2 separate regions of the Mus musculus genome follow, and region 2 is reported to be linked to region 1. The links are microRNA targets in miRTarBase. Many come from high-throughput screens and were not tested one by one. Region 1 holds a microRNA gene; the other region holds the end of a gene's coding sequence.

Region 1 (16,183 bases):
TGTCATTTCGTTTGTTAGTCACACATTTGAAGAGTCTAGATCAACAAGAAGGGAGTTTTTGTCTTGCCTGTTTTGTAGCCATCTCATAACATAAGTGATGATTTGAGGACCTAGCAGGAGATACTAACTCAAAATAAATTTGGATCTCATCAGACCAACGGAAACTGTTTCCTTTCAAGGATTCTAAGCACCCATGTGCTGAAGAACCTGGAAATCTACTTGACAGAAAAGGTCTCCATTTCCATTTCTTTACTCTCCAGATGTATGCTTCCTTTTGAAAAACTTGTACCCATTGTAACAACACTTGCCTTGAAATATAACTTGAAATATAACTTCAATGTTTAGGAAGAGTTATCCAGTAGTCAGAATGCAGACAATTTTAAGGTTGAATGGGGGTCAGAGGGAACAAAACAACCTTGATATATAACTTTTTTTTTTTGAAGTCAGCTAAATGGAATTGGTAAATACAAGATCATTTATTTTCCCTTAAAAACTTTCAATAATAATATGCTTTTAAAAAACCATCAGAGCTTCCACACCACCCAGCTGTTGCACAAGAATATTCCATGTCTTACCAGTAGATATAGTTGACGTTTACTTCCACTCTACCTAAAATAGCAAGATGGAACAAGCCAAATGTCCGTCAACAGAGGAGTGGATACTGAAAGTGTGCTACACTTAACACAATGGAATATTATCCACTTGTGAAGAAAAATGAAGTTGTAGAATTTGCAGGAATATGGATGGACTTGTAACCCAGAAAGAAAATCACACGTTCTCTCTCATATGCAGATCCTAGCTCGTGATGAATACATATATATATGTGTGTGAACAGGTGAGCACATAGGCCTGTATGTTTGACCTCTGACCTGTAGCACTGGAGACAGGAGAGAACTGAGCAGACAGAGTCATTAATAGCCTGCCTGGGCTCAGATAGCAAGTCACTCACTGTCGCCAGCCGCCAGGCCCATGCGTACACGACAAAGCTTTCTCATTGGTGTGAGGAGCCCCGTGAGGAGAAGACATACACGAGCAGCTTTGTCCGGCAAGCGTGCATACGTTCGCTCTAGTTCTTGGCATTTATTCCATTTCAGGCCAAAGCAATATTTAATATTTAGCATCTAGAATGCAGTTTTTCTTTACTGTACATAAGTTCTATGTTATAAAGCAAGCTCTCTGAATGTAGGTGGGCATTCATTCTTCGGCTTTTCGATTTCTCTTAAATCTGACGGTTTGTGGGGTTTTTGTTTGTTTGTTTGTTTGTTTTCTTTTCCTAGACAGGGTTTCTCTGTATAGCCCTGGCTGTCCTGGAACTCACTTTGTAGACCAGGCTGGCCTCGAACTCAGAAATCTGCCCTCCTCTGCCTCCTGAGTGCTGGGTTTAAGTGCACACAACCTGCAGTCACTAAAGCACTGCCCCCAATTAGTTTCAAATGCGAGCTTACGTTTCGAGGCTTGGTAAGTTGGTGATAGGTCTATTTCACAGGCCCCCAAAGGATTGCGCCTCGTGTCACTTCAGCCTCTGCCTCTTCACTTCTGGAAATGGCAGTCTGCTTTCTAAAATAGATTTGAGCTCAGCCCCTTGAAAGGACTTTTTGACCCAATTTTGGATTATCTCCCAAAAGATGAACTCACTGTTGGTTTAAACCTCACAAAACAGTTTTCTAAGGTAGTTTCTCATGTTGTAGACAGAAACTCATTCCAATGCCCTATTTGTGTTCCGTTCCCTTACCGATACACTTTAGTACTAGCATGACATTAAAGAAAAGGGGGGGAAATCTTCCATGGGCATCTTATATAATTTACATGGATGTAGAGAGGTAGTGGGTATACTACCAATGTTTTATAGGGAGGTAGTTGAATGCAGAAAGCATTTTTTATTAACACTCTTCAAGTGCTAGCCTGTGTGTGTGTTTGTGTATGTGTGTATATGTGTATATATGTATATATGTGTGTATGTGTGTATATATATGTGTGTGTATGTGTGTATATGTGTATATATGTATATATGTGTGTATGTGTGTATATATATGTGTGTGTGTGTGTATATGTGTACATGTATGCATATTTGTATGCATATACGTATGTGTATATGTGTGTGTGTATATATATGTGTGTGTGTGTGTGTGTGTGTATGCATGTGTGTTTGTATGTGTGCGTGTATGTGTGTATACATTTATGAACCTAATTTTCTTCTTCTGGATGTAGAAGTTATGCCAAGTTCTTCCTTCCAGCCCCATGCTCCGAGAAATAAGACTCAGATTCAAGATATACTTATAAATACTTTGGGCATATAGTTAGGCTCTGCTCTGACTAATCAGAACTAAAATAAGCCATTCATTTTAATCTACATTTTGCCACATGGCTGGTTACCTGTGCTCAGGTACCATGAGTCCATCTCACATCTTTCCCAGGCAGATCTCTTAAATATTTACAACAGTATCTGGGACATGCCATTGTTGATACCTGTGCAGTAGCCTCCTTCCCAAGGGATGCTCAGGATGGTGTGACTTGTGTCATTGTGATTAAAAGCCGTGGGTATGCATCAAATTAGTTTTCCCTTTTCACATAACATCCCAGGCATTTTTAAGTCTCGTTTTTTCCAATCTGCTGATACATATTTGAAGTGAAAATTTTATCTGGCTGGCTTCTGACCTAATGAGTTTCTAGCTTTATGGTTTGGATGTTAATTTTTAAAGAGTCACTTATTTATGTACATGAGCACTCTATTTGCCTGTAAGCCTTCATGACAGAAGACAGCATCAGACAGCATCAGCTCCCATTACAGATGGTTGTGAGCCACCATGTGGGTGCTGGGAATTGAATTCAGGACCTTTGGAAGAGCAGTTGGTGTTCTTAGTTAACCACTGAGCCATCTCTCCAGTCCAACCTGTTCATATCATACCTGGGGATGACAGTTGTTCCTTCTGTGTCCTCCTAAATTACAACTCTTGGAACACATATAATCCTAAAGAGATGCTAGTAAGTCTCAACCATAAAAACACTATTGTACAACAAAAGAATGGACTTGGTTGCGTCACCCATGTAAGCTTCAAAACTTTGCTCAAAATCTTCACCCTCACCCTTGTTTCCCATCGAAGGTATTTGTTTCATGTGCATGGATCTTTTTGCCTGTACACATGCATGGTAGACTTCCCCTTGTGAGCCTTGTGAGCCCTGCAGAGGCCAGAGAGGGTGTCAGATCCCGTGGAGCTGGAGTCGTGAGCCACCGTGTGGGTGCAAAGAAACCAAACCCAGGTCTTCTGCAAGAACAGCCACTGTCCCTAGCTTTTTAGCCACCTCTACAGCCTCCCCACCCCCAAGTTAGGCAGCATTAACTCATACTTCATTTCCATCTGCATTTGTTATTAGAAGGTTAAAGTTCTGGCACTGGAGGTGCCACTTGTGCGTTAGAAAGGGCCAAGTGATGTTAGTGGGAATGAGAGAGATGAGTGGTGAACGTGGGAAGGAAGACTTGGAGAACTTCACCTCCTGAGGTAGTAGCTGTCACATTCTTCTAGAACATGTAGGCATATCTGACCGAGGAGGAAACGGCTTGGCCCATTAAAGGTTGTTTGGAGTGAAAGTGACCAGACAGTTGTAGGGACTCCAGACAAAAAGGTATAGCCACGTCTATAGAGGCATATTCTTTAAGTGGGAAGGTTGGGAAGGAAGAAGGTTGGTAAGCTGAGGAGACCTGCGATAAAACTGAATCCTTCAGCTGAATCCACCCAGACTAAAACTGGGGATAAAAGAGAGTGTGCTAAACACCGTAACGCTTAAAGAATATTTGTAAGCGCTCTTGCTTCTATATTTGAAAGCCACTAATTGTACAGCCAGGGCTCACACAACAAGTGTCCTTCCTCTACATATATATTTTTTGAGGGGGTTGGTTACTCAACTTAGGCTTGTTTCGCATTAACTTCGGCCCTGATCATATATACATTTGGGTATTCTAAATAGAATTTGGTTCAGTGCTCCTGCAGTCTCTTTGCATGCTCTTACATCCTGGGAGAACCAGCTGTCAGGGGGCAGCTGTCTTTAAGAGAGTCCTGGGGGCTGCCTCCCTGAGGCCTTTTCTTTCATGATTGTCCGTGACCTTAGTCATTGAATCATTGAATTGTTTCTGGCCTCCCAAGCCAGTGATTGGGAACAGGCAGGGTGGTAGGGTGATGTTATGTCTGGGGCCTGAGCCTGTATCCTCACCACACACGGGGCCCACCCTTCCTGGTCTGGACAGCTCAATGCACAGTGCTTGGCACCTAGTGAACACTCAATAAATTGACTTGTTTTTCTGTCTCTCTTGGGATCTGAAGTAGAAACCCTCAAATGTGAGCACAACCCCCCCCCCTCCCCCCCCAGCCCTAGGTCCCCCAACTGGAATTCCCATGAGAAAGCTGAGGCAAATGTGTGTGGATACAGTCCCAGGTAGCCAACCCAGGAAAGGTCATTGCTCTGGCTTTATAATTGGGCTAAAGGATCTTAAAAAGATTTTTGTCGGGACGAATGAGTTTTAACTTAATGCAGCATCTCTAAGATCTGCATAATATCATGGCATTTGAGAACACATTTTATTAAAAAAAATAGCTGATTTGGTATCATTTCTGAGACATCCTGTGTTTTGCCTATATTGTTTGTGTTTTATTCACTCCTACACACACATACACAAATACACACACATACACAAATACAGACACAAGCACATACATACACACATATACACATACACACACAAACACACACACATATACATCATACACACATACCCCCAAGTAGAAAAGCCTTCTACATTCCTCCAGGTTCCTAGATATGGAAAGCATTGAGTTGGAAGAGAATCTTTTGATAGTCTTGCCTGTGGATATTTGTTCAAGTGGCTTTCTTGCCTTTATTTCTTCTTCCCCCTGTTCCTCCAAAATTCAGCCAGACAATCCTTGTCTTCCTGGAGACTCTCACATGTAGTTGTAAGAAATGCCGTGTATATTTTTGTCCAGCTCCCTCACCCTGGTGCCTTTTTCTCTCTCCTATTTTTCTCTGCAGCTCTGGGGATCAGCCCAAAGCCTCTACTACTGAACGATGATGCTCTGGCCTGTATAAACTGTAGTGACACTCTCTCAACTAGGATGTTGCTGTTAACCAAACCTCCTAGCTATCATACTCTGGGTTCCCAGCTCTGCATGTAATTATTTGTGTGTGTCTGTGTAAAGATGATGCTGTGAACTACTTTTATCCCACGTATAGGTTCAGAAATATATCACCAGAAGCGCCGTCTTTTAAAATAGTTACTTGAGAATTTTCAACTTCGCCAGTTTCCACAGACATGGAGATACGTCATGTCTTTTAAATATCCTAGAACGTGGCCTGGCTGTCAAGCGTTGGCAGAGGGGCCCGTGTTTCCTACCTGTGGCTGTATGGGTGATTTTTGAGATTTCCTTCTTATGAATAGCTGGCTAGCCCAAGCAGAATCATAGGTGGGCTTGGCACACAGCTTCTGACTTGCCTGGAGTAAGCTCTACTTTACTGCATTAAGAGTCGTGCCAATTTGAGAGGCCAAGGAGGGAAACTGGCACAGAAGTGCAGCACACACCTGCTTTTCCTGAGGCCACACGCACCGCGCCTCGTTGAGTACCTGTTTGTCTTTTGGGTTACGTTCAAGTCTGTCTTCAAAGTCGTGCACTTAGAAGCTGGGGATGTAGCTCCGTGGTTAATCATGGGCATAGAAGGTGCAGAGCTTTGGGGTTTGATTGCCAACCCTCAAATCTAGATAGATAGATAGATAGATAGATAGATAGATAGATAGATAGATAGATAGATAGATAGATGTGTCCACATAAAGAGATATTTGGTGGGCAAACTACCCTCTTAATTGTACCGTGATCATCTAACCCAGTCTCTAGCGTGGACTGCAGGCAAACCTCATCACCTTGACATTGTTAGGAGCACCTGCAGTAGGCAACACTATCACTGCCGTGGGTCTCCCTACATGCATCTTTTTATGTGCACACGTGCATACACACACACACACACACACACACACACACACACACACACACACACGCATGTGCGCAGAACACATATGTTATACATGCATGCATGTTCGCACACACTCGTACACCTGAAGCAAAGCCTTAGCCTGACGTTACCACTTTAGAATGGAAAGACCCTCTGTATTCTACTGGTCATGTCTGGGGTTTCAGTAGTTAGATGACAGCGATTATACCTGAATATAATGAACCATCTCCATAAGTAATTACTATGCAGGCCCTTTAGAGAATATGTAGATACATAGAGAATAATATACCCAGTGCCCTATTGGAGCCTGAATCCCTACTCCATGGTATTCTACAAGAGTGATTTTATTTTTCCTCTTTGGGCTAATACTATTCCTACTGGCACTTTAAAAGAAAACATTTCTTTTTTTTTGTTGTTGTTTTTGTTTTTGTTTTTTCCGAGCCAGGGTTTTTCTGTGTAGCCCTGGCTGTCCTGGAACTCACTCTGTACACCAGGCTGGCCAGTACTCAGAAATCCACCTGCCTCTGCCTCCCAAGTGCTGGGATTACAGGTGTGCGCTACCCCGCCCAGCTTAAGAAAATATTTCTTTTTTTTTTTTTAAAGATTTATTTTATTAATATATGTAAGTACACTGTAGCTGTCTTCAGACACACCAGAAGAGGGAGTCAGATCTTGTTGCGGATGGTTGTGAGCCACCATGTGGTTGCTGGGATTTGAACTTTGGACCTTCGGAAGAGCAGTCGGGTGCTCTTACCCACTGAGCCATCTCACCAGCCCCAAGAAAATATTTCTTAATGACAAATAATGTTCAAATATATATATGCATATACATTTATTTAACTAATTATATATATTTATTATATATTAGTAACGGAAACAAACAAGCAAGCAAACCTAGCATTTCAAACATCCATAAACCAGTACCAGAGCAGCGTGCTGTTATTTCATGGCAGGCTTCTTCCGTTCTTACCGGGTTCACATGAATGTGTGCAGCCTGCCGGTGCGGACCTGGCTGGTGGCAGATGAAGACGCAGCTGTGTTCCTGTGTCCTGTCACTGAGGCCCCCGCCCCCACCCCGCGGTGCCAAAACTGGAAACTGTGAAAGCATTAAAATGCTGCTCTGATTCGTGTTCCGCTTCCCCAGATAGGAGCCTGGATTTGGTCCGTAGCTTATGGAGTCCCAGCTTCTCATGTTCTGCAGATGACAGTGTCAAAGCAGAGAGCAATTAAGTGTCCAGCTCCTGGTCGCAAGCGTCAGTCATTATCCCGACGGGAGCCAGGTTTCCTGACTGCCAGTCCGTTGCTTTTCCCCTTAACTAATGAATGGCTTCAACTTGTTGGCCTGACTTTCTGACTTTTCCTCCATTACCATTTGTAATGTTGGCCCTGGTTCCCCCTCTCCCACCCCAATCCCCAAGTCCTGTATTACGTTTTCTGAGGGTTGATGTAACAAAGTACTGCATGCCTGGGTGCCTTTGCACAATAGAAACTCTCTCTCTCTCTCTCCCTCTCTCTCTCTCTCACATTTCTGGGAAGTAGAAATTGGGTTTTTACAGGGTCATGCTGCTCTCCAGAAGCCAGTAATGCATGATCTCTCTCTCTCTCTCTCTCTCTCTGCGTGCCTCTTTCTGTCCCCCTGCCCCGTCCTGTGTGTGTGTCTGTGTGTCTGTGTCTGTCTGTCTCTTTCTCCTGTTTCTGACAAGATCTTCACCCAGGTTAGCCTTGAATTTGCAGTGATCTTACTGAGCCTCCCAAATGCTGGCATTACAGGTGTGGGGCCGTATACTCGACAAGCTTCTATGTGAGAATCAATTTCCTGATCATTCATAATTATTAATGTTCCTTAGTTTTTGGGCACCCCACTCTGTTAAGGTGTGGCCATGCTCTGTATACTTTGTTGCCAAGGGAGGTCTTGCAGGCTTGTATTCTAAACGCCCCTCCCCCCTTAGGATCCCTAGTAACCCTATCTTGACTATGAATTCAAAGACCCTGTTCCCAAGTAAGGCTTCACTCCTGTAGATGCAACATGAGTTAGAACTTCAAGAAATCTTCTTAGGGATGCAATGTCACCTGTGCCAGGCCTCCTCAGCTTCAAGCTCACTTAGAATAAGGCAGGTATTTGTAACCCACCAGGAGAACGTACAAGGGGTTTCATTAAATCTAAAGCATTGTGGCCAACATTTGCAGTTTGTTATAAGAACACGTTGGAAAGATTTATAGGCTGTTTGGGGTGTGAGTTTTAGATTACCTCCTTCCTTTGAACTGGTGGTTGGGCCCAGTGTTTTAAAAGTGGGGAATGAATAGATTTGAAAGCGTCTAATTTTTGTCTTTAATGAAGCTTGTAAGCTTGGGAATTTCTAAAAAGCTATCTAAATTCGGTAGTGCGGAACACTAAGAGTGTGTCTGTGATTTCCAAATTTCAGGGCACTTGTTTGCATATGCTAAGCCTCTATTTAAGACAAAAAGTAGAACTTCAGGTCAGTGAGGTTCTGGTTTGCTTCTCTAGGCAGAAAGTCTAGGGTGAAATGTTTGCATGAATATTTAATGGTGAATGCCTATGAATTTTCCCAAACATATCCCCCAATTCTCAAAGGTACTCATTCCCTTAAACTTCACCGGTTGTATACAATTCTCTCCTTATTATAACCATTCTCTTTAATATGACATTATTGGATTAGGAAGAAGTGTATATAGAACCTTAATTTGTATCTTTTAAAAATATTTTAAGACTATGTAATAGGAGTAAACTGCCTTGTCTTTTTTTTTTTTTTAAACTGATTTTTATATAGGCGATTTTATTCTGCCTTTAAATTAATGTGGTTTAGCTTCAACCCTACCCCTCCCATAAGGCTAGTCCCCATTCCCTATAATCTTACAGACCTGGGAGAACAATATTTTCCCTTCTGTCATTTTGATAATTACGTGTGTGCTGTGCTCAGTGGTGGCCTATTAACTCCCATGAAGTCCGTGGGCTTGCAAAGTAGCCTCAGATTTCCGTACCCTGGAACTGTGAGAAATTTCTGTAATGGTGCTTTAGCAATAATGATGGAGGTGCAGGCGTTTCCTGGGGATTAATGACCAGCTGGGAAGAACCAGTGGCCCTCGGCTCTGCCTCCCAGCCAGCCATTAACTCCAAGGAAATGTCTTTTGCTGAGGTCGTTACTGCTATTATAAGCTTAAAATGGAAAAACATAACAGACATATGAGTTATTTTTATGGTTTGATGTCCTTTCCAATAGTATGCACCAGTTCAAGAGACTGAGTGTGTAGGTTGGGTCATTTGACTCATCCCCCAGTAATCTATATGTTTTATGACTGTTCTTACCCATTCTTTCCCATAAAGAAAAAGAAAGAAAGAAAGAAAGAAAGAAAGAGAAAGAGAGAGAGAGAGAGGGGGGGGGAGAGGGAGGAAAGGGAAAAAGGGAAAGGAAAGGAAAGGAAAGGAAAGGAAAGGAAAGGAAAGGAAAGGAAAGGAAGGAAGCCGTTTAGCTTGGTAATCCTATCTTGGTCTGAGGTTTGAAAGTATAAAGTGTTTAACTTGCTTCTCTTATCCTTTGCAAATTACACTTAGGTTTTACATACGATCTGAAGGACTGAGACGTGTGTGTGTGTGTGTGTGTGTGTGTGTGTGTGTGTGGTGATTATTTTTCTTCCAGAATAAAATCCTCCAAAAATAAAAAGGGGGGGGACCAACTCCCACCCCCATAGGGACCTTCCTGGGTTTCTTCGATCTCTCTGTGATATTTAACAGGCATCCTTATGTTTTTGCCTTTATGTCTTGAATCCACGAGAGAGTAACATACAGCCTAAAAACTCAGCATTCTAAGGGTTTAAAAAAGTCTATTAACTATTGCAGTAAGGGGGATCCTTTAATGCAAAGCCACCTGAAAGCCAGGCCAGAGTCAGAATGTTGTCTCCGTGCTCCCCTGTGGTTATCCCTGTGCTCATCTGTAGTTGTTACAGTGCTCCTCTGTGGTTGTCTCCGTGCTCCTCTGTGGTTTTCTCCGTGCTCCCCTGTGGTTGTCTCTGTCCTCCCCTGTGGTTGTCTCCATGATCCATTGTGGTTGTTTCCGTGCTCCTCTGTGGTTGTCTCTGTGCTCCCCTGTGGTTGTCTCTGTCCTCCCCTGTGGTTATCTCCTTGCTCCTCTGTGGTTGTCTCCATGATCCATTGTGGTTGTTTCCGTGCTCCTCTGTGGTTGTCTCTGTGCTCCCCTGTGGTTGTCCCTGTGCTCCTCTGTGGTTGTCTCCGTGCTCCCCTGTGGTTGTCTCCGTGCTCCCCTGTGGTTGTCCCTGTGCTCCTCTATGGTTGTCTCTGTACTCCTCTATGATTGTCCCCATGCTCCTTGAATAGAGGGTTTGGGTGTGTATGTGTGTGTTTAATATCTAGGTATTAAATAGTAGCTTCTGTGTTCAAATTCATTGAATGGAGAAGAAAAAGAAAAGCACACAATGGTCTACTCAAATCTCACAAAATGGCTTCTTAAAACCATGCAATTAAAAGTTTTTTAAAAAAACAAAAAACAAAAAACAAAAAATCAAATGTATTTCTGCAGTGTTATGTCATCAATTACCCCAAAGAGTAGCTGCTCTCGCTAATCTCTTGGCTCCTGACACGTAGACACATAAATATCTATGACAAGAGGACCACTGTTTGCAAGTGAGATTGCAAAATAGGAAGCAGCAGATGTTGGAAAGGAAATCTTTCAAGACAGAGTGACCAGGCTCTCTCGCTTAGGCTTTGTTCAAGGTCACGGGCATAAGATGCCGCTCTAGAAGATGGAGCATGGTCATGTGGGTGGGGGAGGGCACTTCTGCGGACCGGGAAGGAGATGGTATCACTTCAACAGATCATTAGGCAGTAACTGAGTAGAGGAAGCCGACAGTTACAGGAAAAAAAAATATTTGCTGATCACGGAGGACAAAACTGAGCTCCTGTTTGGCAAATCAGACTTCTTTATATTTTGTTCATCGATCCATGAATGTAGTTCACTATGAAAGTACATTTCTTTCCTTTTCAAAACACTATTTTCAGTGTCCTCTGTCTACGATCATCCATGAATGTATCCATTTGCATGATTTAAGTACCTTGTGTATCTGTGGCAATTTTTTTTTAAAGATTTATTTATTATTTTATGTAAATACACTGTAGCTGTCTTCACACACTCCAGAAGAGGGAGTCAGATCTCGTTATGGATGGTTGTGAGCCACCATGTGGTTGCTGGGATTTGAACTCTGGACCTTCGGAAGAGCAGTCGGGTGCTCTTACCCACTGAGCCATCTCACCAGCCCATCTGTGGCAATTTTTAATGTTTTTGTTTTATTTTATGTGTATGGGTATTTTGTCTGAGTACCTTGTGTGTGTCTGCCAGAAGAGGGTAGGTTGTCAAAGTCTCCAGAATTGGAGTTATATATATGGTTGTGAGTCAACCTGTGGGTGCTGGGAATTGAACCTGGGTCCTCTGAACAAAGAGCAAATGCTCTTAACTCTTGAGCCATCTTTCTATCCCGGAAAACAAAATCTTAAAGAGTGAATTCAGTAAAGACATATGTGACTCTTTTCTGAATAAACTATACTTGATATGCTACCATGCCAACCTATTTTGTGAAGAGAATCAGTTTATACACAAGCATTTTCCTAATTCCACCATGCGACTTCAAGTACATTGGGACTAGATATTTATCTGTTCTCAGAATCTTGCAGCAAACATGGAGACTATGCTATATAAGGAAAAAGTAAGCATTTCTGAAATTACGTTAAGATACTATTTTAAAATAACCAGTATGGTGCACGTATGGAGGAAGTTAGCTGTTAGAAGTCACTTGTATTCTAGGACGTTAAAAAAAAAATAAGGAAAATGTTTGCTAGGAAATAAGATACAGATATTATACCTACTAGGTAAAAAAAAAATTCTGTAGAAAAATAATGAACATGAAGGGTTATGTGGAGAAGCAACGCTTACACACCCAACTAGATATATATGTGGAGTTTAGGGGAGAGGGCCGAGCTGAAGACTTAAAACAGGGGCCACGGGTGAAAGAGTCAAACTGTGGCTGTGGGTCAAGATCCCAAGAGAATGGTGAAGACAAGAGCAACCATAGACCATGGAGAGGAAAGAGATGGTGAATGTAGAGGACATAAACAATCTTGCCAGCTGTCCCTGATGACCAATCGTCTCCAGCCACGCCCCTGTTTACGCCTCTCTCCAGCCATGCCCAGCTCCTGACAACAGCCTGGCTCTTACTTTCATTAGTGTAGAGACTAGCCTCCCTATTGCGGTCGACGAGTAGGCACTCTGGCGGAGCAGGCAAATGAATCTAGAGAGAGTCCTGTGGGGGCCAGATCATTAAGTCACACTGAGTGACATCCCATTTGCCATCTGGAAAAGATAAAAGTTTTGTTGTGCAATTATCTTTATGGGACAAAGTGTTTCTGTTGGTTTACTAAAGCCGTTAAGCCAAAACAGGGCACCAGTGTAAGGCCTGGTCTCCCAAGTCGCCTGTACCATCCTCCTGTAGGATAAAATGAACATCTGGGAAGAGGGCTAACATGTGTCTCTGGTGAGTTTAAGATAACTGCTTTGGCTTCAAGGATCATTAGATTTCACAGATCTAATGTCTATGTATGTAATGTATGTATGTATGCATATATATTATATATATCACTGAAACTTCCTTTGCATGGGTCAGATGTTGAGAAAAGTCGGTTGTAATTTGGGATTCATGCAGAGGAAATGCCCTGGAAGCTTTCACGTGACTAGGTAAAGGCTATGTACCTTACTAGTCTCCCTGGCCCCTCTTATCCAGACTACTAGAGTTGGAGCCCCTACAGTGCGGGGAGAGCTTTTAAACCTTTTGTAAGCTGTAGCATCCCAGGGTGAATTGACTTGCCGCAGAAATTAATCTTGGGGCTGATTCTAGCTAAGCAGTTGTAGCGATCTAGCAGAAATGGCTCAGTCCTGCAAAACGGATGGCCAAATAAAACCTTCAGGTCTCTGGACGGGTAGCAGGCAGTGCAGATGCACCAGGGGAAGGACTGGTTTCCCACAGCATGGCTGTGCCATTTCAGAGCACTTGGAGAACACTGTACGGATGCAGTTAAACATTTATGACCGCATGCAGGTCCAGGCAGCGTGAGGGATTTTGTGCAAGTAGTGGCTGATGAGCACCCCAAATAGGAGTTCTTCAGATCTAAGGTATCCATGGTAACCAAGTAGGTTCCCTTTCCATTGTGCTTATTACTTTCCAACCTGCTAACCAGGCGTAGGCGCTGTGGGCTCCAGGACACCTAATTCCTGTAACACTCTAGAGAGTAAGTAAGTGCTTTTGGGGGGGGGGGTGAAGCAGACTTAAGTAAGGGGTTTTGAGAGATTTGCAGAATGCCACGTAGCAGCCAAGACAGTAATTTGGGGTCCAACTGTCAATTTATTTGAGTAGTGTTATGCAGGTAAAAATCACACAGGGAAAAAAAGAATTATGATTATTAAGAAAACAATGGTGGGTTTTTGTTTGTTGGTTTTGTTTTTGCTGGCTCTCTGAGGTCTTCTATTACCAACGTGGTTGTTCAGCTGTTTTATGAATAGCACAAGCTCACTGTTTTCATTTGGTGAACAGCACCAGCTTCGCTATTCAAGATCTTGCTCCCAACACAGGGAAATATTTAATACAGTAGGAAAAATGGTTTGAATTCAAGTAGCGTTAATGTTGCAGTGTGACTATAACCCTCTTTTTCCAAGAACATATTACAAATGAATTTTTGTGCTTCCATTTAGCCTACGTGCAATATAACCATTTGGGTTAAATCGCAGCCATAATAAATCGCATCATGAAGCATTTCATCTATATTTCTTAATGTTGTTCACAAGTGACTAGAAATATCTTGGTACCTTTTATGTACGGTAGCTCATTTACATATTTTTGACATTGTGAGAATGAACTTTTATACTATATGTGTAAAGTACTGTAATAATTAAGCGTATATATACCCTAAAGAAATTTACCCAAGGATATGCTATAAATATTGTCAGGGTTGAAGAAAAGGAGACCGGATCCATTATATCTGTTCTCTCTGGGACATTTGTATACCTATTTGAGGTTTGAAAATGAAGTAATTATTATCTTTCTCCACTTCTTCCCCCTCACGTGCTTCACCACAAACTTTAGGCAGCATTCACAATCCCCATTAATGTGAGCAGCCATATTTCCTGTAAGTAGTGATAATCTGTAAAATGGATGACATGAGCCTGAGGTGTAAACATATGTACATCCACACTGGTTGGCGTCACATGCCCTCAACCGGTTGAACCCACGTTGTATCTGGGGAGAGTAGAGAAGGAAGAGGAAGAGGGTGGGAGGAAAGGAATGAGATCTGGTGGGTTCTTTGGTTTCTAAATTGTGTAGAACAAAAACAGAACAGTTTGGATAGGAAGAGTCCTCCGCTGACCTAGCCCACTGGTTTACATCATGCCAGCTAAGCACTGGGTGACAGGTTCAAGGGCCCGCCCTTTTTGTTGACTGACATTTCTCAAGGTAGCCAATGACATGGACCTGTCCTGTTTCTGTAATGAACAAAGATAGGTCAAACCCACTGTAGCTCTGAGCGGTTCCTTTCTTCACGGTTCGCTCAGGCAAGAACACCTTTGCTCCTGGATAGACACACGGACAGCCTTGTCAGGAAAGGGAACTTTTAGGAACTTAATCTGTGAGGGAGAGAGCCGGGACATACTTGGAGTGGCATCTGAGCAGATGTCCTCAGCATTGGCCACCAAGACTTCGCTTAGTAAGTATGTATAGTGTTAGAGCCACAAAAGTAACAACTGTGCAAAGAAGGACGTGAGGGACCAAGAAGCTGGAAAGCCCGTCCCCCTGATGCTGAGAAACTAGTTGGATCATGCACACACACACACAAAAAACACTGCTGCCAAGTTCAAACAATAGAAAAGTGGAGGACCTAAGTCTTGTGGGGACACAGAGTCGAGGTGAGAGCCATTAGTTGGCCAGGAAGGATGGCTGGAGAAGTTTGGGTGGGATTCTGAAAAAAATTAAAAGATGGGAATCAATATATTTAACCTTTCACCTGTAAGGCAAAGAGCCCCTGGAGAGCTAGCATGCAGTCTCCCTGTCTCACATGTCCCTGCAATTCCCTTTGTGCCTGTTAGACTGTCCGTAGCAGAACTCAGCAAATGCTCGAACGACTAGCTTTAGGTACCATGTTGCTGAAAAGACAAAACTTTGCTTCCCAATCTGCCGCTGACCATGACACCCAAGGAGAGCAGATGTCAGGAACACTGTGTTAGTCTCTCTCTCTCTCTCTCTCTCTCTCTCTCTCTCTCTCTCTCTCTCTCTCTCTGCCCTGTGTGGGGTTGCTCACAAAGGAATCTTTGCATCTGAGAAGGGACAGACAGTCACCTCCTGTGGCTGACCCCCACAAAGAGAGGGGGAGAAATCTACTAAACCGCTCCTGGAAATGCAATTGCAGAATCCTTTGAGCCCCAAGCCTCCTTTTTCACTGGGAGGACAGATAAGTGCCCGGTCTTGCGGTGTCGTGTTTCTGACTCCTTTGTTTTGCCTTCAGATTTAAAAAAAAAAAAAATGCCAATTTCATTTGTCCTTCAAGTCGGGAGCATGTCAAAGAGTCCCTCTGAGTGGTAGGTGGCTTTCCGGAGCACACGGGAAAGAAAGCCGAGTCTCATTCTGGCAGCTGTCCAGTGAGGATGGAGAGGGGTCAAGTTACTTCCAGTGTCTGAACACGAAAAGGCAAAGAGAGCGCTGAGGTGATACACTACATACACCCTCTGGGCCCAAAGTCCCATTTACCTCAGAGATGGAGAAAAGGCGAGATGTGAGTTTATTTTTTCTAGATACTATACAGGCCATCGCTCTCTTCTCCATGGTTCTTGTCCAGTTTTGGGACATCGCAAAAGATGGCTAAAGAACCAAGGATGAGCTGTCAGAATAACCTAGACCATATCTATTTCTATCTATCAAACACTGAAGTCTCCACTAGATCCGAAGAGAATGCTCACGTCAGTGCTAGTGAGTTGCCAGTTCAGTGACTGCCTTTACTGGTTCATAATTCGGCTTTGTTCTCATTGTTGAGTTAAAAAGAAATCACCATTTTATCTAGGCTAACCTTGAACTTGTAACCACCCAGACTTTGGCCTCCAGAGCTGAGTAG
Region 2 (16,183 bases), not on the chromosome of region 1:
TCCCGGTGTATCCTGCCAACTGAACGAACGTTTCTAGTCCTCCCACCACCCACTGCTCTCGCCAGGGGTCGCGGTAAGGAAGCCCCGCCCTACTAGAACTTCCGGCTCCCAGGAACCGTCTGTCCTCAGCTCCAAGTGGGCGGTCCCCGAGCTTCTGGCACCGCCCCGGAAGTGACGCCAGGACGTCCCTTCCATTTTGTGCAACGTCCGAGCTGCTAAGTGCGTCAGTTGTGGAGAGACTGTAGACGAGTTGGGTTCGTGTGTATGTGTGTTGTGTGTGTGTTTGTGTAGGGAGGCAGACAGCTCCGTCGCAGACTACGGACCTCTCCGGGGTCTCAGCCGCCAAAGACCCTGTCCGGTAGGTGAGTGGCACGCTTTGAGGGCAAGGCTTCTCGGATCGAGGCTTCTTCATGGCCGCTCGGGTCGCAAGTGGCCGGGGCTTCGCTCTTTGCGGAGGACGGCGACTCAGAGAGCGCAGTTGATTTGAGGTGGGCGCTGGGGCACGTCTCCCTGTGGGTGTTGCGTGAGGGGGACACGAGGCGGAAGGGCGGGCGTGGGGAGGGCGTTTGTGTCGGGAAGCAGCGCGCCCCTCCCTGCCGCCCTTAATGGCTCTCATCGAGGCCCGGACGCCGGGGAGCCGGCCTGGCCCAGGGCAGCTTAGGGTTTCCCCCCGTGGGCCGGCGCAGGCGCAGCGCTCTGGGCCCCGGGCTTGCCCGTGTCTCGGGGGCACGCAGCTCGGCTCGCTACGCTCCTCCCCCCCCCACACCCCGCCGCATACTTCGGCCGTCGCCATTTTGTGCTGCGAACGCGCCCCGTCGCCCACTGCGCAGGCTCGGTGGTGGCGTCGCGAGATTCCGGCTTGTGACGCGCGGGGAGGCCGCGACGCGGGCGCGGCCGGCTGCTATTGGACCAGGCCTGGCAGAGGGCGGGCTCGGCTCCGCCCGCATTTCTCGGCCTGGCCTTAACTGCGGCAGATGGGAGGGGAACCCCGGGATCCGGGGACAGCGTGTGCGGCTGCGCAGTCTAGAAAGGTGGCTACTGGCGTTGTGGTGGGCTGCCGTGTGGAACCTGGGAAGGGGGTCTTTTGGAGAGTTAAGTTTTAACTTGGAATTTGAATGTGGTGGTCGTGAACGACTTAAAAGGTACATGGCGACCTTGTTAGTAGAGTTGGTAAACGTGGGGTGTGTTTGACTGCTTGACTGAACATCCCCCACCCCCATGGTGTCAATCGTTGATATTGTCTCGATTCAATTACTGCCTAACAGGAAACACTAGCCGGGCATCATGAGTGGCTGTCGAGTGTTCATTGGGAGACTAAATCCAGCAGCGAGGGAGAAAGATGTGGAAAGATTCTTCAAGGGTTACGGACGGATCCGAGATATTGACTTGAAAAGAGGTTTTGGTTTTGTGGTAAGTACTTGAAACTGAGTTGAATTATCTGTCGAGAAGTTAGGTAACTTTGTGGTGGTGACACATGCCTTTGGTCTCTGGCCCTTGGGAGGCAGGGGCAAGCCAATCCACAGAGAAACCCTGTCTCCAAAAAAAGAAAAAAAAAAAAAACAAAGTGGGTAGAGCTCTTGTGATGAGCATGGACTCTGAGTCCATGTGAATTGTTTTCCCAGAAAGATGTTAGAAGTGGCCAAGAAGCAGTGGCTTCTGTTAAGAAGTTAAAGTAACTGCTGGCTGGAGTTGATTCTCAGTCATCCCTAGCTTAGGGTTATAGTATCTGAGTGTAAGGTATATCTTAACACTTCCATGATTTTTTTTTTAAATTTATTTTTTATTTTTTTGGTTTTTCGAGACAGGGCTTCTCTGTATAGCTCTGGCTGTCCTGGAACTCACTTTGTAGACCAGGCTGGCCTCGAACTCAGGAATCTGTCTGCCTCCCGAGTGCTGGGATTAAATTAAAGGCGTGCGCCACCACGCTCGGCTTCCATGATCTTAATGTGCTGTAGAATGCATGCACGTCCAAAAGCTCTACTCTTACTGCTACATTTTAGGAATTTGAGGACCCAAGGGATGCAGATGATGCTGTTTATGAACTTGATGGGAAGGAACTTTGCAGTGAAAGGTAAGCATGATTGGTTTATAAGTAGTTCTCCCAGGGAAGTAGAGCAGAGTAGACATTTGCATATGTAAGTGCTCTCATGTGTAGTGTGTGAATGCTTTTTTTACCTCTTTGTAGGGTGACGATTGAACATGCCCGGGCTCGGTCTCGAGGTGGAAGAGGTAGAGGACGATACTCCGACCGTTTTAGCAGTCGCAGACCTCGAAATGATAGACGGTATGTGGTTTGGGTTTGGCTGTTACGGTTGGGTTAGGGTCCGTTAGCATTAAATGGTTCTCAGACTAGTTAAGTCTAGTTAGTCCACATGCTGAGAACCCAGAAACTTGATGGAATCACTATCTTGGCTTAAACTTGTCACATAGCATTTGACATTGTGACATAACATCTGACACTGAATGCTTATTTTTCTTTCTTCAGAAATGCTCCACCTGTAAGAACAGAAAATCGACTTATAGTTGAGAATTTATCCTCAAGAGTCAGCTGGCAGGTTTGTTGAAATACAGTTTTGAGATATTTTTTAATGTGGCATTTAAAAGTGTTAATGGGTAGTTAATGTTTTATTAATATATATCTTATTAAATGCTTTATCTTAAATTAATTTAATTGAACTATAATTTTAAACTTTAGTTAAATGTAACTGGGGGATGTTTCAGATTTTAATATTAGTGATCAAATGTAAATGTTTTGAGGTTATTTTTTCATGTTTTTTAAAATCAATTTTAACCAAATATTAAACCCTTTATTTGCCAGCCTATCTGTGTCGTTGGCCTTATGACGAGGAGTGCCTGTGGGTTATCCTAATCGTTGTCTTGGTCACTCTTGGTTGGGCCTGGTTGACTTTGCCAGTCAGCTCCTACAGTGATCAGTTGGCCACCTCTAGATCTGTGTTTGCCGGTCTAGACGTAATCGGTGCACTTACTTGAAGTGCCGGGTTGCAGCGATCCCAGAACCGTTGATAACGTGATCTGATCCCTAAGTTGAGAGCTGTCTTCCTGTAACGCTTCCGAATAAGAGGTCCTGGTCGAAAGAGTTGAAAGATACGAAATTAGTTGGTCGTTGGAATCCTGATCGCAGTAAAGTGGTCCTTGGTAACTGCACAAGAGTAAAACATGTCTGCATCGCCAGTAGTCTGCTAATAGGGAGGGCTGTGCGATTAAAGGCTTCCATCGATTGGGTAGTATCCTTCAAGTGGGTGGCGAAGAGCCAGTCGGGCCTATGTCATGAAGGTTTCTCCGACCGCTTAATGGTTTGCTGCTTGACTAGCCTAGGGAAATGTTAATAAAGGTAAAGTAAAATTTTTTAATGACATATGGGGCACAAAATAACTGGTGTCTTTGTAAATGTTGTTTTATTTTTTTATTTTTTATTTTTTTTAAATATAAAACTAGTCTTTAAAGGATGTACTGTTCCTTTTTGTTTTTTTTTGTTGTTTGTTTTGTTTTTTGTTTTTTCCCCCTTTTGTACTGAGCTCAGTTAGACTAATACTATAATGTTAAAAAATTGGAATGCCCTCTAGCATTTTGCTTAAAAGCAATATGCTATTTGCTTATTTCGTGCCCTGGCATAATTTTTGAATTCTGATAGAATACAAGTGTGGTATATGCCATGTTTGTACTTTATCTAACACCTTCTCTTCCAGTAGTCTTGTTTATGCCATGTGGTTGTTTGTGTGCCACTTTTCCCTTTCTCTCCTTAACATAATTGTCTTGTGTTAAGGATCTCAAAGATTTCATGAGACAAGCTGGGGAAGTAACCTTTGCGGATGCACATCGACCTAAACTAAATGAAGGGTAAGCATGTCCTGGATTGTGAGTCTTAATTAATTACCTTGGGAATTTTAATTGTGGCATTGCTATGATCTAAAATTTGCATGTGCTTGATTTTGGCTAAGTTTGGGGAGAAAGACTATCACAAGGGACTGTTGATAATAGGCACCTGCAACATTCCACAGTACATAGGGGGGCACACCACAGAATTGTGCTGTATATATCAGAAATGACTTAAAACAGCAATAACAACAGGGATAAACTTATGCTTATCTTGATCTGTGTAGGTGGTCTACAAGGCTATTGGATTTATAACCTTTAAAGGGATTTTTTTTTCCTTCCATTTTAGGGTAGTTGAGTTTGCCTCTTATGGTGACTTAAAGAATGCTATTGAGAAACTTTCTGGAAAGGAAATTAACGGGAGAAAAATCAAATTAATTGAAGGCAGCAAAAGGCACAGGTACTCTTTCGTTTATATTTTTAAGCCAAAGGTTTTACTTGCTGGCTTTTAGAGCCCTGTCATACAGGTTAATGTGTGTTTTCTCTCTTTCCTTCTTGCCAATTTTTCATAGCAGGTCAAGAAGCAGGTCACGATCTCGGACCAGAAGTTCCTCTAGGTCCCGTAGCCGATCCCGTTCACGAAGGAGCAAGTCTTACAGCCGATCAAGGAGCAGGAGCCGGAGCCGGAGCAAGTCCCGTTCTGGTAGTAGGTCTCCTGTGCCTGAGAAGAGCCAGAAACGTGGTTCTTCGAGTAGATCTAAATCTCCAGCATCTGTGGATCGCCAGAGGTCCCGATCCCGGTCCAGGTCCAGATCAGTTGACAGTGGCAATTAAACTGTAAATAACTTGCCCTGGGGGCCTTTTTTTAAAAAACAAAACAAATTCCCAAACCATACTTGCTAAAAGTTCTGGTAAGTATGTGCTTTTCTGTGGGGTGGGATTTGGAGGGGGTTGGGCTGGATTTCTTTGTAGATGTGGACCACCAAGGGGTTGTTGAAAACTAATTGTATTAAATGTCTTTTGATAAGCCTTCTGCTCACACTTTTGTGACTGTCTGAAGTATATAGTTTGTGTATATTGATAGAGCTCTTTTATAACTAAAGCATTTAATTTTTTGTACTAGAAAAACTTTTGAATATTTTAGTTCATTGTTCAGATATGTTAACTCAAGATTAGTTTAATTAAACTAACGAATAGTTTTGGACACTTTAAAAGAGCTCTAAATTTGCTTGTATATAAAGGCTTAATATGAGTTTTACTTGTTAGGGTCAAGGGTGTCTTGCCCATTAACAGCTGTAGATAGACATTAAAGTAAAGCAGCTGTTTGTTATTGATAATAAAATACTAAGTATTATAAAACTGCTTTTGGTCTGTTTCTCTCAAGTTCTGTATTATTTATTCTATCACATTTGTGTATTTTAAGTTAAAAACTACACATGTAGAACCCTGAAGTGTAAGCTTTTTAAAGTATTTTATTATTTTGCTATTTGAAGCTAGTGAAGGAGCCTGCAAATGGATTGAAAACTACAGCTAAGTTGAGTGACAGTTCCTTGTATTCCTTCAATTCTTTCCTGTTGCCACTGGACTTGAATTACCATCAGGTTACTAACCCTAAACAGAAAGGGCAGTGGTTTGGTAAACACATAAGATCCAGTGCAAGTTTTCTTGTCAGATGTAACAGTTGGGATGGTCATAAATGTAATTTCTCAATGATTGAAGGCATGAGAGATCTTTACATGCTGGTTTTAGTTCTGAGATACGTGACCATATGTTTTATTTAGGTTTTTAAAGGTGTGTGTGTGTAGAGTCCTGGAACTCAATTTGTAGAACAGGGTGGCTTTTTCTTCCAGTTGCTGAGATAAAGGTGTGTGCCACCACCATCTGGCTAATTTGTGTGTTACCAGAGGAATTTAAAAAATTTCTATCATGGGTATCTTGGCTGCATGTATGTATGTGCATCAGTTGCAAGAAAGCCAGAAGGTGGTGTGGGATTCCCTAGAACTAGAGTTAGAGACCATTATGAACTGCCATGTGGGTGCTAGGAATCAAACTCCAGGTTCTCTGAAGTCATCTTAATTGCTGAGCAATCTCTAGCTGCCTACTCTTGTGGGAGTGGGCAGTGCCCTAAGTGTAGGAAATGTTATTCATCTTGAAAGCCTAGTTGCCAGGTGCGAACTTGGTGAATATTTGATAGCAGATCATCTTAATATCTGAGTGCTGGGGTTGAGTTAAATCCTCCTCAAAACTGTATTACAGGAAATGTAGGGGGCTTTTCAAAGGACCAATTAAGGATCCAGGACTAGAACAGGCGTACTCATTGGTGAGTAGAAGTAGGAAAGGCTTATTTGCTTCCTCAAAGTGGGAGTTAGGGAATGAGCTAGCATTTGGGAGGTGTTCTAGGGAGAACTCAGTAGAAGGTTTCGGTAATAGATCATGAACTGTAGCTTATCCTGATAAAGGCTAAGTCTAGGAGTAGTGGTATGCTTATTCACTTTTTTTTTTAAAAAGATTTATTTATTTATTATATGTAAGTACACTGTAGCTGTCTTCAGATACACCAAAAGAGGGGGGGGGTCAGATCTCATTACTACGGGTGGTTGTGAGCCACCATGTGATTGCTGGGATTTGAACTCAGGACCTTCAGAAGAGCTGTCAGTGCTCTTAACCTCTGAGCCATCTCTTCAGCTTATTTACTTTTGAGGAGACTAGATATAACATTGGCAGAACCTGGCATTCTCTTTTTACCAGCCATCTTAACCTGCCCTTTTAATGGGGATCCTCTTTAGTATATAAGCGAACTGTCAGGTTGAGTACTAAGACCTGAGATTTGAGAAGTTAGAAACAGATTCTTTTGAGACAAGAGTTTCACTGTCCTCTGGTCCTGGCTGGTCTGGCTTGTGGTATGTATTACATAGACCAAGCTGACCTTAAACTCCTACACCTGCCACTGCTGATGTCGCTACCTGAGGGTTGTGATTTCAAGTGTGCCCCCCACAGCCTTGATAAAACTTACAAAAGGATGTTTTAGGACTAGTTTTTTGTTTCATTTATTTCTAAGGATAGTTTGAAGCCCCAGGCCAGCCTTTCCTGATTGGTTATTAGATTAGTTTATCACATCTTGTACATGGTGGCAATCTGGATGTTTAGAGAAGTCATTGATCAGATGAGCCCCAAAATGTAAAAAAGTTAATATTTTTGTGACATAACTAGGCTGGCTTTCAGCTTAATGTAGCTGATGGCCAGTCCAAAGTTGCTTGTGTTAGAGACTGCACTAACATTAGAAACCTAAAAAAGACTGGTGCTGGGGCTGGTAGTGAAAACTGCTCTTCCAGAGCTGAGTTCAATTTCCAGCAACCACATGGTGGCTCACAACCATCTGTAACCATATGACAGTATTCTCATATACATTAAGTAAATAAAATCTTGTAAAAAAAAATGAAGTAGCTTTAAAAACAAAGACTGGTACTGTGTAACACAGACTGCCTTCAGACCTGAGGTAAAACACCTGCTTTTCAGGGTGTGTGCTTTAAAGGTGTCTGCCACTGCCATCTTAAGAAAGGTGAACCCAAATGCTTGGTCATTCTTGTGAGTGCTTGTTAGTCCTGCAAGTTTGCCAAACAAGTGCCCTGATGTGGCTTCCGTTGTACACTGTCAGTGATGGAAAATACAAAAAAGTAGTTTACCATGTTTAACCATGTATGCAATGGGTAGTTTGTTCATCTTTCAGCCATTATTTTAGTGTGAATAAAAGGTGAAAAAATGTTTAGATTTCATAGAAGAAATCTGAAGGTTTGAGTATTTTTCTGTACAGTTCCTTCAAGGTTTTGGAGTGCTTGATGCCACTGTAAACTGATAAGAGTGTGGAATTATGTTGGCTTGTTATGGCTTTTTAAGAATTTTTTTGCTTTCTGGTATTTCTGGTACCTTTCATTGTGGGTAGTGGGTAGCAGTTTTGTCCTATTTAATTGCTTTTGTCTACTTGGTATTGATTTTATATAATTGAACCCAACTTGTGTGGAAAAGGAAAAAGAATTAAGATTGTTTGGTAAGTTAGAACTACCAGTTGTAGTTTATTTCCTTTTGAGTTACAACATGAAGCAGGTTGTGGATGCTTAATGAGCAAAACACCTGCTTATTGGAAAGTCTAGAAATAGTGATAATGTTTATCAGATGTAGCTGTTTCATAGAGCCTTCATAAGAGTTCATAGCTGCTGAAAGTGTTCTTGGTTTCTTGAGACAGTCTTGCTGTGTACTCAAGGTTGACCTTGAGTCTCTGAGCATTGGAATTATAGGGAGGAACCACTTTGCCTAGTTCTTTTTTATCTTTTAAACAAATAGCAGATTTTTGGGGATGGATGATGGTTCCTGGATAGATGCCCTTCTGCCTCAGTTCATTGCTTCATGATTCTGCTGTTGAAGGTTTGCTGGAAGTGCTAGACAATCTGGCACACTAGGTGTTACTTTCCTTGTTGCTTCTAAGTTTTCACATTCTAATTTGCCATCTGACCAGAGTTCAGGCCATTAGGGGAAAGGCCAGGTTGTGTAGGAGGATTATTCCCGTTGTGGGTACCTTTTTCCAGAGCTGCTGGAGTAGCATCTTCTGTTGCAGCAGCCTTGTAGGTAATTTTTGTTTGGTCTGTAAAGTAAAAAGAGAATGAGAGTAAAACTGGCTTGAATGAGGGTGGGTCCCTATTTGAATGCTTGTTTTTCACTGGGAGGAGTTGCTTGAGAAGGATTAGGTATGGTCTTGTTGAGATGTGTCATTGAGGGTGAGCTTTTGAGGTTTCAAAAGCCTGCATTTTATGTCACTCCTAATTAACCTTTGTGTGCCTATTTGTGATTTTGTGGATCAGGGTACGTAAGGTCATTTACTGCTCCAGTGTCTTGCCTGCCTGCCAGTTGCCATGTTCCCTCTCATGATGATAATGAACTCTAGCCCTCTGAAATTGTAAGCTCAGCTCAGCAGTAGAATAGTAGCATGTACAGACTTTCTTGGGAAAAGAGAGTTAGCTAAGACAGACAAAACTTACTCAAATGCAAGAACTCAGGGGTGTGCTCTGTATTTGTATCTACTATCACTCCTTTCAGAAAGATTTGCTTTTCTTTTGAGATCCCTGGTGTGGTAGCACTAACAGATGCTTTGTGTGATATTTTCATCACTGTGGGTTTAGGTGAGTAATAATGACTTAAATTCTGAAGGACTTAGAAGCAGGAAGCTTTGATCAGGCCTCAAACTGCCAACCCCTACCTTCTTCAGTCTGAGTGTCCCTCCGCCCCATGTGGAAGTGGTGAGGGACTTTGAAGGTGGGTGTCAGGGTCCTCCATGCTCTTGCACTACAGTAGAAATCTGTTTTGGGTGCAGATCATAAGTTCTTGGGGTCAAAACAAAAAAAAAAAAAACCCAAAAAACCCAAAACCCTCAGCCTTGGTTTTGGAAATACATAGTAGAAGAAACTGGGTTAGGAAACGGATTAATTTTTATTTAAAAGACACAAGGATGCTGGGGATATAGCTCTGATTGAATGCTTGTTTAGCATGCCCAAGGTTCTGGGTTTGATTTCTAGTACTAAAAAGACATGACTGGTCACGGTACATGATGTTGAATTTGAGTACTTGTTGGCTGGGGAATCTCCAGTTTGAGGCTAGCCTGAGCTACATACAGAAAACAATGCTCTGTACCATAAAAAACCAAAATGGTTTATAAAGAGTACTTTGGGTGAGATGACTCAGCAGGTAAAGGTTCTTGCTGCTAAGCCTGGATGACTCAAGTTAAAACAGTCCACATGGAAAGAGCATCGATTCCTTGGAGTTCTCTGATTAAATGGGTTTGTATACATAAAGACAAAAGCCCTTTAAGGACTGGTATTTTTGGCGGTGGGGGTGTATGAGTGTTTCTCTGCATGTATGTCTTTGTTCTGCATGAAGTCTCTGGAGGAAAAGAGGTTACCCTTTAGGACTGGAATTGTTGGCTTCTGAGCTGCCTTGAGGGTCCTGTGGAAGAGCAACTAGGTGTTCTTAACTACTCCAGCCCCTGCAAGTGCCCTTAGTGGTTGAGATGTGTCTCAGTTTGAGGGAGGGATTCTGGGCTTTTTTGAGAATAGCATTCTGCAGATAATGAATTTGCTCTGAACACTTAAAGTAATAAATTATTTTTAAAAGAAAAAAGTAAAATAATTTGAAGATTATTCTAGTAATTAGTATAAATCATGCCAGTTATCTGAGATTAACTGACCAGAGTGGAATCATGGTTTGGATTCTGTTGTATTAGGCCTGTTTCAAGTTTTCCCTATGTTGGTACTAGGGCTCTGACCTTTTTTTTTTTTTTTATTTGTTTGTTTTTGTTTTTTGAGACAGGGTCTCTGTATAGCCCTGGCTGTCCTGGAACTCACTCTGTAGACCAGCTGGCCTCGAACTCAGAAATCCACCTGCCTCTGCCTCCCAAGTGCTGGGATTAAAGGCGTGCGCCACCAGCTGGGCTCTGACCTTGCAGAAAGCTGAACACTAAAGAATGCTGAAGCTTTCCAAATTAAAGAAACCCTAGACATGTTTTAGTTTCAAGATCGTTCTCTGTAATATTGAAGCTTGTCTTACAAAGTCAGGCCCATGAGAACAACGCCAGATGCATTAACTTGGAGTAGTGTTACTGGTGAAAATGACCTTTACTCTTCAAAGTCGCTGGCATGCTGTTTTACCTGGTTCCAGTTCCTACTTGGAATCTTTTGTTGGTAGCTCAGGTCCAGAGCAAATACTCATAGGAGATGAGTTCAATACTTACCCTTCTGAGGTTTGATTTTCAAATAGCACCGGAAGATAATAATGAAGAGAAGTCCTTCTGCAAGCTGAAAAATCATATAAAGGAGAGGAAAGAAGAACAGTGGTCCAATGACTTCAGGGGGGAAGGTGACATTGAGGATGGTAGAACAGAGTTGGACGTTTTGGAATCCTGTTTCCATGCTGATGGTGCGTCTGCAGCTGTGTGAGTGGGAAGAAACAAGACAGTGGTCAGCTCTGGGGCCTGTCCTTCCCCTTTCTGATGCTTTAGACCTACAGCATCCAGCATTGGAAGATGGGATCCAACCCTAAGAAGATAGTGACAAAAAAGGCACAAAGTTTATAAAGGCTGTGTGTGTGCATGCATGTGTATGCACATGTATGTGCTTGTATCTCTGCATGCATGCGTATGCTTGGGACTATGAGCATTGTATATACTAGGCATGTGTTCTACATCCATCTGACCCTAAGGAGGCCTTTGAATAGTTTGGAAATTTTGTCTGCTTTTACAGAATTGCTAAGTTAAAATTTGAAAGTGACTGGCAGATAGGTGACACTGGAAGTGTTAGCTTGTCTTTTTCTTTATTTTTTTAAAAAAAGATGTATTTGCTTACTATATATAAGTACAATGTAGCTGTCCTCAGACATCCCAGAAGAGAGCATCAGATCTCATGGATGGTTGTGAACCACCATGTGGTTGCTGGGATTTGAACTCAGGACCTCTGGAAGAGCAGTCAGTGCTCTTAACTGCTGAGCCATCTCTCTAGCCCTTAGTCTTTTTTTTTTTTCCCCCTTAGTCTTATAGTTGCACTTTGAGCAGACAGTGGGAGATTGAAATGTGGACTTCATCCTGTGTTTCTTTGTAGCTTAACATATTTTTTTAAAACTTTTATTTATTATATGTAAGTACACTGTAGCTATTCTCAGAAACCCTAGAAGAGGACATCAGATCTCCTTATGGATGGCTGTGAGCCACCGTGTGGTTGCTGGGAATTGAACTCAGGACCTCTGGAAGAGTAGTCAGTGCTCTTAACCACTGAGCCATCTCTCCAGCCCTTAACATAATTTTAATTCTAGAACTGGTCATTATGTATCTTTGAAACCTGCTCCCCTAATTTTGCTTTCCATTTAGTGCATTGAAGAGCAGAATGTTTTAATTGAATACATTGCACCTTTCTAACTCCCAAGTGTGTTACTTGTCCTATTTAGCATGTTAGGCTTACTGTGATGGCCCTTGGTGCTATGGCCATTGTGATCTGTAGCTCCCAGAACTAGTAAGACTGTAGTACTATGGTAATGGGCAGTCTTTTGCCTGTGTAATACAAGCACAGTTATTTAATTGTTATCAACTAGGTTGTAATAGTGGATTTTGTATTTTGGAAATGAGTTTCTCTTAAAGTGTAGGGGGGAGATGGTACTAATGCAGCAGCTCTCAACTTGTGGGTCACTGCTCTTGGGGGGTGGATGACCCTTTCAGGGGTTGCCTAAGACCATTGGGAAACACATATTTACTTAAAATTCATAGCAAGATTAGTTACAAAGTAGTGACAAAATAATTTTATGGTGGGGTCACCACAGTATGATGAAGTGCATTACAGGGTCACAGCATTGGGGAGGTTGAGAACCATTGTACCAATGTTTAGACTCCTATGTAATTTATTTAGGCTGACAGGAGGAAAGGACTCTGTTTCCATAGACCCTCAGGTTGAATGTTACTTTACGATGGCTTTATTTGTTTGCTTGCACTATAGCTAAAGGCTTTGAGCTTAGCATGGCTTCCATCTGACATTGTCCTTGTTAAGGATTCAAGCCTTGTTAGAATAAGAGTGGGCAAGGAAAAAAAGCATTGGCGTTAAAGCTACTACAATGACATCAAACTCCATGGTGTGATTTAACATCGGGAGAGGGCAGACTTTGCCTTTACCACCTTCCCATCCTAAGTCCTCCCCCCCCAGCCCCCCAAGTATTTCTCATTGCTCAAAGCCCTCGGTCAGTTGGTGCCTTTGAACACATGCTTTGGAAATGCTCTGCCCTTATCTCAAGGTTCCTTATTTCTAAAAAGACTTAAGAGACACCCTGAGGACATTGGGACCTAGAAGACCTACCTTGGATTTAGTCGGAAGAGAGCAGAGAGAATGTAGCCCATCAGGAAGCCAGTGAAAGGCATCAGGGAGGAGGTAGCCAGTAAGTGTGGTGTCATGACGAACATGATGCTGTTGCCCACATTGATGACAGACAGGACTGTGACAGCCACAGAGAGGGAGAAAGTGATGATCATGCCTGCCTGGACATGGGGACAGAAGAGACCATCAGAAGGTTGGGAGTGGGCACAGGAGTGGGGAGACTCGGTAGGAAATAGGAATTCAAAAAACCTTTATCTTGGGTCTTTTTGGATTTATTATTAGTAGCTATAAAAATATTTGGCTAATACGTTAATGACTAAAACCTCAACCAAGCACAGCCAGCTGCTTTTGACATAGCTCCAGACTGCTGTGAAATTCTCAAGTGTGTAACTTTGAAGGGATGAATCTGGTCCTATGAAGCTGATACAGCATTTTCAGTCTGTGTATACATTTGCACAAGATGACATACACATATTTTGGAGCTGGTTAGAACCAGTCATACTTTCTCAGCTTCCATTACAGGGAGAGACTGAAATGTTATGGAACAGCAGTTCTCAACTTGTGAGTAGCAATCACCAAAGGGGTTGAGCAACCCCTGTCCCCCAAATCACTGAAAAAATACGGATATTCGCCGGGCGTGGGAGGCAGAGGCAGGCGGATTTCTGAGTTCCAGGCCAGCCTGGTCTACAAAGTGAGGTCCAGGACAGCCAGGGCTATACAGAGAAATCCTGTCTCGAAAAACCAAAAAAACAAAACAAAAAAAACCCAGATATTTAGTTACAATTCATAGCAAAATTAGTTAAGACGTAGCTATACTAAAAACAAAAAAAGCCGGGCAGTGGTGGCATATGCCTTTAATCCCAGCACTTGGGAGGCAGAGGCAGGTGGATTTCAGTGTTCGAGGCCAGCCTGGTCTAGAGAGTGAGTTCCAGAACAGCCAGGGCTACACAGAGAAACCCTGTCTCGAAAAAAAATCTAAAAGCAATAAAAATAATTATTGTTGGGGTTCACTGCAACACATGATCTGAATTTAAGAGTGCAGTATTAGGAAGGTTGAGAACCACTGTTTTAGGGTAAACTGGATTTCTGGAAATTGCCAAGAGTCATTTAAAGCAAAGCAGATACAAAAGGCTGTTGGTTGAACCAGGTAGCCTATTTTTGACCCCAAATGATGTGTAACCCTAAAAAGTCAGCTCGCTTGTGTGACCTGGAAACTAGATGAGAAAATTCTAGAAGTGTGTCAGCATTATATCATGCCCCTCCCCCAGGTAAGTGCTGTACAAGCATTTACTGGGGGGTAATGGCATGTTTTTAGAATAAAACTAACTTTCCAGTTGCATCTTCTGAAGTGACTGCTTAACGATTTCGTCGTGAGACATGAGGATGTGAGTTTTCAGAGTGTACTTCATGCTCTTTTGTAGCATGTTCCAAAATGACAAAAATGTGTAGATTTAAGTCTTTGTTTTTTCATCTTTTGAATAAAGAAATAGCAAAAAAGGAAATCAGTGCTCATGTTACTTTGTAGTGATTATGCTCCCACATGGTTTTAAAGTTTCCTTTTTTTTTCCTGTGTGGGATGTTCACTTTTTTGAGACCCGGTCTCACTATGTGGCCCTGGCTGGCCATCCTGAGCCTGCTATGTAGAGGAGGCTGACAAGAGCCGAGCTCTTGGAGGATTATGGACAGTCTCACGTTCTTCTAGGGCAAGCAGTGATCTTTCTTCCTTCACGCTGGCCATGAAATGCTGGGAGTGTTTATTCTCTTCTAGCTATTGAAATCTACCAAGTTTGCCCTGTTGCTTTCTATTTGGCCTCCAGGCTTATATGAGTCCCAACCTTTGTGACTGGCACCAGCCCCTCCAGAAAAGCCTGACCTTTCTGGTCTTCGGTAGTCGTCTTAAAGACTGTCAGACTTGATTGTCTGCTATTGGGATCTTATTTCTCTTGTGTGCGACTTTACTTTTTTCAGATGACAAACTCAGAAGACAGCCCTCAAGTGTATGGCAGAGACTTTAAGCATCAAGAAACATAAGTTTAATTTTATTTTAATTCTATGAAGGGTGTGTGTTTGTGTACAGGGTTCAAAGGCAGGTTCCCGGGGTGATGCTGCAGGGAAGTCCTGTGGCTTCAGGATATAGAGCCTTAGATGTGAAGGTTCTCAGGTCATTGGGGACACGATACTGAAAAGGCACAGGGGTCCAGTGCTATCCTTTCTTCTACTCTTGCCTTGGTATATTTGTACCCGACCCAACACATGCTCATGCTGTGATGAGCTGCCCTTGCCAAATGACCCAACATTCAACTCTAACCCCTAGGGCAGCTAGTCAAAGTAAACTTCCCTAAGTAGACGATGTGGTGGTAGCTCGGTTGCCATGTTCTATCAAGGGCCCTGAGTTCTTACCTTGAGGACGTAGGGTACATAGTGTGGCCTTTTGGACTTCAGGAAGATCCCTATGGCGCAAGGAATGAGAACCATGACGAGTGATAACATAATGCCTTTGTAGGGCACCTTGTCCTTAAGATCTCCGTCGTAGATTCCTTTGCTGTAGATGTATAAGAGGAGAGGCATCATGCCCAAGGCAGTGAAGCTGGAGCAGGTGGTCATCACAATGCTGAGTGGCCAATAAGGGAAAAACAAAGGAAAAGCCAATTAGAGGTTTGAGTTCCTTCCATGTGCCTGACACTATGCTTCATATCTTTTTGGGCAGTAAACATACTGGTGTGTGTGTGCGCGCATGCGTGCGCACACGTGCACTTATAAAAACACTGAATACTAGAAGAGTTGACTTATTCCGGATTGGACATAGTAAGTGGCTGATAGAAGATATAAGAAGCACAAGCCTTTCCAACTCCTTCAAACCACATATATCATTGGAGAAGGTGCCATCTGATTCAAAAAAATGCCATCTTTAAGCCGGGCGTGGTGGCGCACTCCTTTAATCCTAGCACAGAGAAACCCTGTCTCAAAAAGCAAAAAAAAAAAAAAAAAAAAGCCATCTTTTCTCCTTCCTTCCTTCCTTCCTTCCTTCCTTCCTTCCTTCCTTCCTTCCTTCCTTCCTTCCTTCCTTTTGGTTTTTCGAGACAGGGTTTCTCTGTATAGCCCTGGCTGTCCTGGAACTCACTTTGTGGACCAGGCTGGCCTCGAACTCAGAAATCCGCCTGCCTCTGCCTCCCGAATGCTGGGATTAAAGGCGAGCACCACCACTGCCCGGCAGCCTTTGAGGTCGTATAGCCTGACCCCACTCCCCGTTTGCTTGTACTAATTTTTGTAATGCAGATAAAATTGATCATCCAGCTTCCCGTGCCTTCCTACCTATTGCCATGTCTTCCCCTTTATGGTGGATTTGATCCCTCTGGAAGTATAAGCCAAATAAATAGTCTCAAACTTTTTGTGTAAATGCTAGAGATGTCTCCAGTTAGCACCGGCAGCTTCCAGAGGACCTGGATTCAAGTCTC

What was found. The annotated mature microRNA mmu-miR-763 reads CCAGCUGGGAAGAACCAGUGGC and lies in region 1 at 9,088-9,109, shown strand. An mRNA with a match to its seed (bases 2 to 7 or 8) in the 3' UTR can be bound and repressed. Matches are read on the target gene's strand: a 7mer-m8 pairs with bases 2 to 8, a 7mer-A1 pairs with bases 2 to 7 and ends in A, and an 8mer does both.
Region 2: miRTarBase lists Slc10a1 as a target of mmu-miR-763. Seed matches in the 3' UTR shown: 7mer-m8 at 10,303-10,309 and 7mer-m8 at 10,233-10,239.

What each region holds. Positions count from the first base shown.
Region 1 is chr10:120,440,978-120,457,160 of GRCm38, reverse strand. It overlaps Mir763 (microRNA 763), which reads left to right and starts at 9,051; the gene lies at 9,051-9,170. All of the region lies in intron 3 of Hmga2 (high mobility group AT-hook 2), which reads left to right. It overlaps Gm51785 (a long non-coding RNA gene), which reads right to left and starts at 6,157. Exons shown (of 4, transcript XR_003948969.1): 1 at 1-6,157.
Region 2 is chr12:80,945,311-80,961,493 of GRCm38, forward strand. It overlaps Slc10a1 (solute carrier family 10 (sodium/bile acid cotransporter family), member 1), which reads right to left. Exons shown (of 4, transcript NM_011387.2): 2 at 15,129-15,339; 3 at 12,711-12,889; 4 at 10,182-10,806. The coding sequence ends at 10,599. Srsf5 (serine and arginine-rich splicing factor 5) reads left to right here and starts at 189. Exons shown (of 8, transcript NM_001079694.2): 1 at 189-362; 2 at 1,266-1,410; 3 at 2,001-2,071; 4 at 2,186-2,284; 5 at 2,486-2,555; 6 at 3,785-3,858; 7 at 4,184-4,294; 8 at 4,410-5,196. The coding sequence starts at 1,285. The coding sequence ends at 4,668. It overlaps Gm20337 (predicted gene, 20337), which reads right to left and starts at 89. Exons shown (of 3, transcript NR_045057.1): 1 at 1-89.